Arabidopsis thaliana: one gene and its partner. The protein of the gene in region 1 interacts with the protein of each later gene in a pairwise test. Each region holds a gene or a part of one and is shown on either strand. Other genes may lie near its edges.

The links.
Region 2: the proteins of AT1G04340 (region 1) and AT3G50910 interact in a two-hybrid assay, tested with the Arabidopsis thaliana proteins (one large-scale study listed by BioGRID).

What each region holds. Positions count from the first base shown.
Region 1 is NC_003070.9:1,162,154-1,166,815, reverse strand, and holds AT1G04340 (HR-like lesion-inducing protein-like protein), read left to right. Parts: upstream 1-1,954; 5' UTR 1,955-2,078; coding exon 2,079-2,146; intron 2,147-2,729; coding exon 2,730-2,844; intron 2,845-2,935; coding exon 2,936-3,025; intron 3,026-3,111; coding exon 3,112-3,210; intron 3,211-3,363; coding exon 3,364-3,471; 3' UTR 3,472-3,911; downstream 3,912-4,662. Other genes in the region: AT1G04350 (2-oxoglutarate (2OG) and Fe(II)-dependent oxygenase superfamily protein), read right to left, coding at 278-532, 622-943, 1,015-1,520.
Region 2 is NC_003074.8:18,917,572-18,923,046, forward strand, and holds AT3G50910 (netrin receptor DCC), read left to right. Parts: upstream 1-1,755; 5' UTR 1,756-2,215; intron 2,216-2,613; 5' UTR 2,614-2,617; coding exon 2,618-3,383; intron 3,384-3,758; coding exon 3,759-4,181; intron 4,182-4,273; coding exon 4,274-4,428; 3' UTR 4,429-4,730; downstream 4,731-5,475. Other genes in the region: AT3G50900 (uncharacterized protein), read left to right, coding at 551-895; LPPepsilon1 (Phosphatidic acid phosphatase (PAP2) family protein), read right to left, coding at 4,832-5,059, 5,162-5,235, 5,321-5,475.

The DNA of each region.
Region 1 (4,662 bases):
TGGTATTGCTAGTTTCAATTTAGTCAAGAAACTGTGATTGACAAGATGCTGATCAAGTTTGAACCTTTATTCCCAATTTAAAGCATTCACTAAAATTATACACACACACACACACACACCTTTCTTTGTTGTTTTTGTTTTTGGTACAAAGGAAATGGTTTACTTATTTGTCAAGATCTGACAATTGGACTAGTACCTGAACCCAATAGATGCATGAAACGAACCAATATCTTACAATAAACTTGAGATGATTTACTCTTTCAATTGTTTTTTTCTTTCATATCTTGTAATGCGACAGATACGATGTTCCATCGAGGCCTTTCTTGAAGTATCCCTCTGTGTATTCTTTCAAGTCGATGACTCTGTATTTTGAAGGGTTTTCTTCAGAGAGAAGCTCTTTGATTGGTCCATAAACAGTTGAATTCGGACGCATACTTGTGCTGAAAAAGCTAGCTACTGATATCCTCGGTGTAGCTGCCCTGTTCGCTAGCACCCTGTGCTCCACACTTATGACTTTGTCATTCGTTATTAGCTGCGTATCAAAGGTAAACTCAGATTCTCAACATTGTATATTTTACTAATAAAGTTTAAAAGAATGGATCAATGAAGAAATTGCCTTGCCTGCAAGAAATCTCCCATGTTGATGACTAGAGCCCCTGGAATAGGAGAGACATCGACCCAACAGTCTTGATGAAAGATTTGAAGACCACCGATTTGGTCCTGGAGAAGAATGGTGAGGAAGGAGTTGTCTGAATGATTATTTGTGCCGATGGTTAGATCAGGTTGTGGACATGGAGGATAATAATGGCAGAGCAAAAGCAAACCCTTCATGCAATCCATGCTTTTAAGCTTATCAGATCTCAAACCAAGAGCTTCTGAGAGAAGCTCAAAGAGCAAATCACCTAATCTCATCATATGCTTTGAGTATTCGAACATAGCAACCCTGAGCCAATATTTCATAAGATCGCTCAACGGTTCATAAGATTTCTCAATGAAAAACCGTAAGTTACTTACCTGCAAGCCACAGGGAGATCCTCAGGGTTTGGAGGATCAGGAGCCATGTAACAAGCGAAAGAGTCTCTCCAGTTAACACATGAAGAAGAACTATAGAGATCGAAATTACTATTGTAGACAAATCTTTTAGTGGCGTCACGAGTGAAGTAGGTTTTCTTAACCTCAGGAGCTTCCTCATGAAACCTACGAACTCCATCTTGAATCTCTTGAAGAACGTTTAAAGGAACACCATGATTGATCACCTGGAAGAATCCCCAATTCGATGCAGCGTCTTTGATCTTCCCAACGATATCTTCACGGGAGACGTGGAGGCCTTCGAAGTCGATGATAGGGATCGCAAAATCAGTGGTAGAAACAAAAGGTTTCTTGTCGGATAAGGAACCTTGAGGGAGACAGAAAATTCGAGGAATCTCAGTGATGTGAGCATCAATGAGACCTTTCACACCTGTTTTCGTCTCGTCGAAAGCTTTGCGCTCACTGTAAGAGTCGAATTCTTTGGTCTCCATTTTTGTTTCTTTAACCTATTTCGAAGATTCATTCACAAAAAGCTGCTTCATACATATACAAAAAGAAGAAGAAGAAGGTTATCAAGAAAAATGGATTTATGTTTTTGCATTCTTGTGGTGAGAGAAGACAAGATAGAAACGACAATTTGAGAATTGTATGGTTGAAAAACGTACGTCCTGTTTTGCTGCTGGTTTAGTTTGGTTCTTGATCAATTGATTCTGCTCTAGCTTGATCAAAAACGTATGTCCGGTTTTGTTGATTGGGACTGGAACTTATGTCAGCATGACGGTGCCTTTTCATCTTCTTCTTGGTTGAGTTTTAAAAATGATAAAAATTCGGTTTAAATTTTAATTTAGATACTTCGGTTCAATTCGGTTTAGCTTTTCTTTTCCACCTTTAATTGGTTAATTATATAAATTAATCTTTTTTCTCTCTGAAAAAAAAAAAGACAAAAGCAGAGGAACCGAAGTTTAAGCTAACACCGAGAAAGGATCCGTCTCTCCGACGACAAATCAGACCACCTGCGACCTAGAACGACACAAGGAGACATAGAGAAAATGGGTTTCTTCTCTTTTCTTGGAAGAGTTCTCTTCGCTTCTTTATTCATCCTCTCCGCTTGGCAAATGTGAGTCTTTTCTTCTTTATTCCCTCCATCTCTTCTCTCGTTTCTCCGGTTATTGGATTAGGGTTCGACATCTTCTTCGATGAACTTCTATCTTGCTAGATCCGATTTGATTGAGAATCTTCCGCTAAACTGTTTGATTTGGTCTAAGCGACATCTAGGGTTAAATCTAGGGCTTGTCTAAATAATCCCTTGCTTGATTTTATCTTGCTAGATCCGATTTGATTGAGAACCTCTCTTTAAGGCTTTTAAAATAGAGTTAGCTTCCAAGAGACTGTGGTATCTCTGATCTTGAGCCTTTTAATAGCTCTGTTGTTCATATGATCTCTATCTACTTAGATGACCAAGAGTCTGTTTCTTCACTATTTGTGTCTGATATATGGTGAAGTGAGATACGGTGGATTGGTTTCTAGGTTCTGCTAGTCCAATTCCATCCTGAAAAACACCATTTAGCTCTCTAAATTGTTTGTATACACATCTCTGTTTGCTTGAAAGTTTACTAGTCATATGTGTAGAGGCTTTATAAGTATCCCCTTGTCGATTATCTTACGAAATCCGAACTATGCTTCTCTGGAATTCTTATTAGGTTCAATGACTTTGGAACTGACGGTGGTCCAGCAGCTAAAGAGTTAGCTCCAAAGCTTGATCTGACCAAAGCACATCTCTCTTCCATATTGGGAGTATCATTGCCCAACTTAGAGGTATGCCCATTGCGTTGATTCCTTGTCTTCATGTCTCTTATGCTGTCTATATATATATGTTGCGTCTGACTTGGAAAACTAATTTTGAAAGGTGAAACAAGTCGTGTGGGCTATTGTTGCTCTGAAAGGCCTAGGAGGCTTACTCTTTGTTATCGGCAACATCTTTGGTGCCTATCTTCTGGTTAGGATTTCTTCACTTTTGTTTAAGTATTCAAAAAGTTAAGTTGTTGTATTGACTTTGGATTTCAATTCTTTGTTTCTTATTAGGCTGTCTACTTGGTGGTTGTCAGTCCCATTTTATATGATTTCTACAACTATGGACCCGAGGACCGCCAATTCTCTCTTCTATTGACTGAATTCTTGCAGGTTTGTCTATACACCTTTCTTCATTTATTCGTTTTGGCTTGCTCTTGCCATGTTCTTCGAGCTGAACCTAGTCTGAATAAAGTATATTCCTTTATGGCTCTTCTGAACCTTCTTCTATGATTCTCATTCTTTTGAATCAATGTTTTATCACAGAGTGTTGCGCTTCTCGGGGCATTGCTATTTTTCATCGGAATGAAGAATTCAACAACGAGCTCCAAGAGGATTCTGAAGAAGAGGACTCCCAAGCCTAAAGCTGCTTAGAGTTCTTCTCTTCTCCTCCACACACAAAGGCAGGTAGGCTTCAGAAGAGCTTCTGATGTCTCCAAGCATTACCTTTGTCATTCTTCCTTACAACTTTTGGTTCCTTATCTATTGTAGGATTCTAGAATTAGCCACATTTTGTATTTTATCAATTAGTTTTTATATGATTTTGGGATTTAAGCCGTTTTCTTTTGTTGGATCATATTATTTTTTTCAGTGATTTTTAAAAATTGGTCCGAGAAGGTTTTTCTGGGGTTATGAATTAGAACCGTTAGTTAGATTCGTTAAGTTTCATTTTTTTCTTGTTGTAAAATAGATATAATTATTTTACTTCAAACCTATTTTTTTAATATTCAGGTTTATGCTGTCCAATAAGCTTATCGGATACCTCAAACATGCAATTACTATTTGTAAAAAAAATCATATACATGGTTAAAAATTGTCTTGCAAATCCGTTCCAACCGTTACAACTTTACAAATCCAACGGACAAGGTTAATATGCGTAAAATAATATGATATCACATCAATAAATTTGTCGTATCTGACTTCAGTTTTGAATAAAGGTTATTTCTAGAGAACCTAAACCGCTAATTATTTTTGTGATAATTATAATAGGAGATTAATTAATTATTCAAAGACATATTGCTTTTTGTTTTAAACTAGAATATGATTCTTTCCATTATATGTGGCACACAAAATCTCTCAAGAAAATAAATAGGTAATCAAGGTGTTGGTTAGTCTAAAGTTGGTATAGGGAAAAAAAAGTTATATTATCTCCTTGGTCTAAAGTTCATATCGTCTTTATCATTCTTTTGCTTTTTATAACACAATTAATATTTATTGAAATATTAACAAAAGTTACGAACAATGCCAAACATACAACTGACTGCAACAATGGTTTGTTTGGGAAAAAAACTGCCACCAACAGAATTTTGATTTTTGAAGACCAAATAGATAAAAGGACAAGAGTTAAGAAATTTTCGATATTTTGTAATTTTCTATGTTGGTAATTGATTTTTTTAATATTCTTTGGTAAATTTTGGATTTCTATTATTATCTGAAGTTCTGAACTGTAGTTACCAGAGTAACTGCTGGTTGAAATTGAATACAAGTGTTTCTTTCGACGAGCTTTTACATTTCTTGATAATCTTTTTCAGCACTAAAAGAAAGTAGTTTCTTCATAAACAAAAA
Region 2 (5,475 bases), on another chromosome or scaffold:
AAAGTTGATTTTGTTTGAAAAATCTGATTCATAATCATGTACATGCATGATAACAGTCTGATGTTAAACCATCGTAAGGAGCAGATTTAGCATTCTAGAATAGATCTATTCTGCTTACTTTTACCCCAAATTTAGATTTTTCCATGATTAATATATTGTTAGATATGGATCAGACAAAGAAGATTAGTCTAAACTCTAAAGCCATTGTCCATTTGATTTGTCTAAAAGATGTAGACGTAATAGTCAGCATAAACACACATTTGACCGGCGATTTAATAGGGACGAACAAGAAGATGTATACATCATGTGGGTGTAACACTAACACATGCTTTATTAATTACATATACAAAAATTTAATTTAGTTAGTTGGAGATCTCATACACACAACAATAATTAAAATAAAAGTCAAACAGATCTACTATTTTCCTTTTCATATCACAAAGCAAACTTGTCCTACTACTTAAATCAACACCATCACGAAGAAAGTTTCAAGAACTCACCTAAAACACAAACAAAGGAACTCCACTTTTTTTCCACACCACATCACACCATGTTTAGAGCCATGAGCACAAGGAAAATCCATGGTGGCTACGAAAAGCTCGGCGATGAAGAAGCGAGACTGAAGAGGGTCTCTAGCGTTCCGGCTAGTGTTTATGGTCATTCAAGAAACCCGGTTCAAGAAGTGAAGAAGACACCGACAGCGAAACCAACCGGTGGTTCTGTTCATCCTTTGTTTAGTTTCTTTGACGTTCATTTTCAAAGAAAGAAGAAGAATACGGCGAAGAAGAAGAGTTTAGCAACGGCGAAACCAGAGTTTGCTAGGTATATGGAGTATGTGAGAGAAGGAGGTGTGTGGGATCCGAGTTCTAACGCACCAGTGATTCATTACAGATAGATTCGTCAAGGAAAATGAATAAAAGATTTGTATATCGTCTTTTTTTTCCAAATATATAATCTATGAGAAAGCCAAACAATCCTTGATTCGATTCGAAAAGATGCATCAAACAATGTATTAGTCATTTTTGCACGAATTGATGAGTGTTTTGTACACTCTCATGGAGATTCCGTGAAGAATAAGATAAGTTCAAGGGTCTTGACTTTAATATATGATCAAAAAGTTGATTTTGGTTTTCTTATTTAAAAGGATATGTTATATGAACTGAATCAATTCGTAGTAGTTGCTAATATAGAAGCGGTCCCAGAGCTGATATCTTTGAATCATGTTCTATATTCTTCATTTCCCACCTTAGCTTTTATTTTAAGAATTCAAAATCAAGTGAGAACAAATTCAAAATAAAGTGAAGAAAAATTCAAAATTTCCAGTAACAGATGCATATTTGATTTTCCCTTTTCATCAAAAAATAAAGTTACGAATAAAATATTATTATATTAAGGAGAAAAAAATAGATATGATCATAGTCTCATATTTCTTGTGAAGACCAGTTTTTTTTTAAAACTATATTGTTAACCAAGTTTGAATACTCGCTCTTTATTAAAAGCGTGTTCACATGGGTCACGTAACACGTTTAAGAAAAACCTGGCTCTAAAAATATTATCAAAATCCCAGATTTGACGAAGACAAGAAAATAAAAAAAGACTTTTAAAATCGTTTTCAAAATGGGCTTTACAGATTCGTGAACAGACAAAAATTGGGCCATGGGTTAATTTGCTTTTTAGGCCACGTCACCGTTTTAGTGACGTTTCTGAATATTCGAGATGTGACCCCACTTAAACAAGATCCCTTGGACGACGTCGTTTCGACCACTTCACGAAACCCTACCGTCGATTTATTTACACAAAGTACCCCTTCATTGTATAGCGCCGTCCTTTGCTGTAACTCTTACCGTCAAAGGTTATATCCGTCTTTCCAAATGTCTCCCAAAGACACGTTTTAAAAAAATAAAAATAAAACGAAGAAAATCAGAAAATGGGTCGCCAAGAATAGAGGAAGAAGCAAAGAAGAAGAAAAAAAAAAAACAGAGCGTTTCAAATATTTGCGGAGATACAAAGCTGAGAAGAGATAAAAAAAGCCTTGGAGAAGAGGTTTTCTTCTTCTTCTTCTTCTTCTTCTTCTTCTTCCCTCCTCTCCTCTTAACGATGTCGTATCACGCTTCTTCTTATCTTCTCCGCCGTCGTCTTACTTCCGTATAACCTCGATCTCTCACCGTTGAATCTTCCTCAGCTTTCTTCCGTGGAGATCTCCTTCGCGCTCGAGGTAAATCCTTCTCTTACGCCTCCGGATTTGATGTTTTCACCTTTCTCTGTTTGTTGTTTCGGTGAAATTTCTGGAAATTTTCGTTATGGTAGGTCTGAATCTCGAGAGATTCGATTCATTTTCATCGGCTTGACCTATTGTTAGCTTCTAGATTATCAGATTTGTGATTTGATTTTGCTAGCTTCTTTTTTTCGTGCGAGAATTGAATCAAGTTTTGTTTAGGTATACCGATGATTGTGGTTTGAGCACGCGGTGTTTGCTTTGTACCTTCCCAATAGCTAATTCTCACTTATGCGAATGACCATTGTTGGTTGATTTCTGATTCGATTGAAATGAAGAAACGCTCTTTGTGGTTTCGGTTTTTTTTTATTACTAATTTGATACTTGAATGATTGCAGAGCCATGCCTACTTTTTCTGCTATTGCTTTGGATAGAATGCTAGAGCCAGGGGCTTCCACGTCTGTCGAGAGTGTTCCAAGCACAACTAATTTGTTTTATTCAAAGCCACCGATATCAAAACTGGAGAAAGGTAAAGGTAAATTACCTAATGAGAGGACAGTTACTCGTCCTCTGATGTCACCTGCTCTCTACGCCACACCTGATGCGATTCCGCTTCCTAATTCGCCATCGTCTTTCCCACCGTCGCCTTATATCATCAACCACAAATCACGTGGACCTCCACGTCTTCTTAAAAGCTCTTCTGAGGCTAATGTTGTGTCTTCTTCCCACCAGAAGACGCTGGAAGAGGAAACTATTACTGCTGAAACAGATGTAAAGGTTTCCCCTCGGAGGAGGTCCACTTCCTTCTCGTTTCCTATCACTGAGGTTACTGAAGATGATTATTCCAATGGAGTTCATGCTCGTACGGTTGGAAACTATAATTTTGATGGTATTGTTGATGGTCCTGTTGGAAATTGGAGTCCGCTTGATGGGAAAAGTGGGAATGGGAAGTCAGAGTTGGATAACGCTGCTAATGGTTTAGAACGGGTAAATGGTCTGTCTGAGCCAGTCCCTATTAAAACAGACAAGGAGAGTGAGTCAGAAGATTTCTATGACCCAGGTGAATCAGCAAGCTTCACAAGTAACACAGACGTAGAGGGTGATGCTGGGGACGAAAGTTCACAAAGACTTGCCACACCTGTGGGAGAGTTTTATGATGCTTGGGATGGTACTTATCTAAATCTTATTCTCTTACTAATCATTTCCTTATGAGATGGCTGTCAATGCTTATGATCTTAACGTTCCCAGGATAATATGATTAGTCACATTTTAGAGTCCCTTCTTTTTAACCTTTGAGCATTTGAGGGTATTCTTTCTTTAATATGCAGTAGTAGCGCCTTGTCATGCTTTGGAATTTTGTTTTCTTCTGGATATATTGAAATTTGAAAGTGATGAGTTATCTTTCCAAATCATGATGATTAATGCATTATTCATTTCCCTTGATGAGTATCTGCAAAGTATCCTGAAAGTTAAGCTTTAACTCGACTCTATGATTCGGAACTATTTAGTATTTTGTAATCCATCTAATTTCTTGGTTTTTCAGAACTATCAACCGACAGTGGAATGCAGAGTTCAGTTAATAACATCGAATCTGAATTAAGTGAGATAAGGCTGAGTTTACTAATGGAAATCGAGAAGAGAAAACAGACAGAGGAGGCTTTGGAGCAGATGCAAATTCACTGGCAGAGACTCCGTGAGCAGATGGCTCAGGTGGGTCTGTTCGTTCCTATTGATCCTACCGCCTCCACCAACAACATGAATCTATCAGAAGAACTACGCTGTCAACTCGAGATTGCGAGGTTTGTCTCTGACTCTTTAGGCAGAGGTATGGCAAAGGCCGAGGTAGAGATGGAGATGGAATCTATGCTCGAAACTAAGAACTTTGAAATCACACGGTTGTCTGACCGTCTACACTACTACGAGGCCGTGAACAGAGAGATGTCTCAACGAAACCAAGAAGCCATAGGTAGTAGAAAATCACTCTCATTCACCAAATTTATCCATTGTCATTTTCTATCGTATAATAAAAATCTAATCTCACAACTCTGTTGATACCAGAGGTGGCACGACGAGAGAGGCAGAAGAGAAAGAAGAGGCAGAGATGGATTTGGGGATCAATTGCAGCAACCATTACTCTAGGAAGCGCGGCATTGGCATGGTCTTACATTCCTGCAGCCAAACCATCATCTGAAGTATCTCTTAAGGATGAATGATTAAGTAAGTCTCTTGTATACGTAGTGGGTTTGATGCAAGCAAGAGAAATAAAGATACAGGACGTTTAGCGTACGCCTTGTGAATAGAAATATATACATATTTGGTTATTGTTTTAACTGTTCTCAAGAGGATGTATAGCTCCGAGTAGCTGCAAACACATTTTTCTTGCGGTGGCATACTGATGAGTGGCAGCCACAGTCACTAATATTTGGTTCGGTTTGGTTCTTATTAACATTCAATGTTAGCTCTAGTGTAAGGTGCTTGCCTTGCTTACATCTTAAAGAAACCTTATTTTTTAAAATCTTGATTTTAACAAACGGGCTCTGAATCCTTCATTTCGATATTTTGAAAAGAATTTGAGGGATAACAATTTTAAGCTTTATAAGTAAAGCTTGGTATTGCTTATCTCTCGTCTTTGAACCAGTTAAGTACAACGTACGCTGCGAAAGCTAGCGCAAATGTAGCTGCAAACAGAAATACAGATATTTGCACTAATAGAGATGCCTCGAAGGCTTCACGAAGAAGCGAATTCCACATTGTGTACCATAAGATGCAGAAAAGAGAACCAACAATGGCACCCACCACCACTTGACTGCTTGTGTGCAGTTTTTGAGAAACCCTTAACCGTATCTGTGATAGTGCAGAGAGTGTGAGATCAATGGCAACTAAATGATTTCATATATGAATGAAAAGCTTGAATCAATTAGGTGAAACTTGTTATAACAGACTTACAAAGTATGAACCCAATGCGAGGATTAAGCCGCTAAGAAACAAAGACACACCGTTGGTTCCAAGCCATTCCATAACTGCAGAAAACACGACTCGAGTGAATCCGTTGTAAACAGTTCCACGATAGCGAACGATGAGTAGTGAACAGCTTAAGCTGCTTACCGGATAAAACAGCAAAGACAGATATGAAAGAAATGGATTGAGCATGAGAAGATGGCATCCCGGGATCAGATCGCAATGTTGTAGTAGGCCTCTCTTGGTTAAGTATACGTTTAAGAACTACAGAGAGAGCAGAATTCGAAATCGATCCAATGACT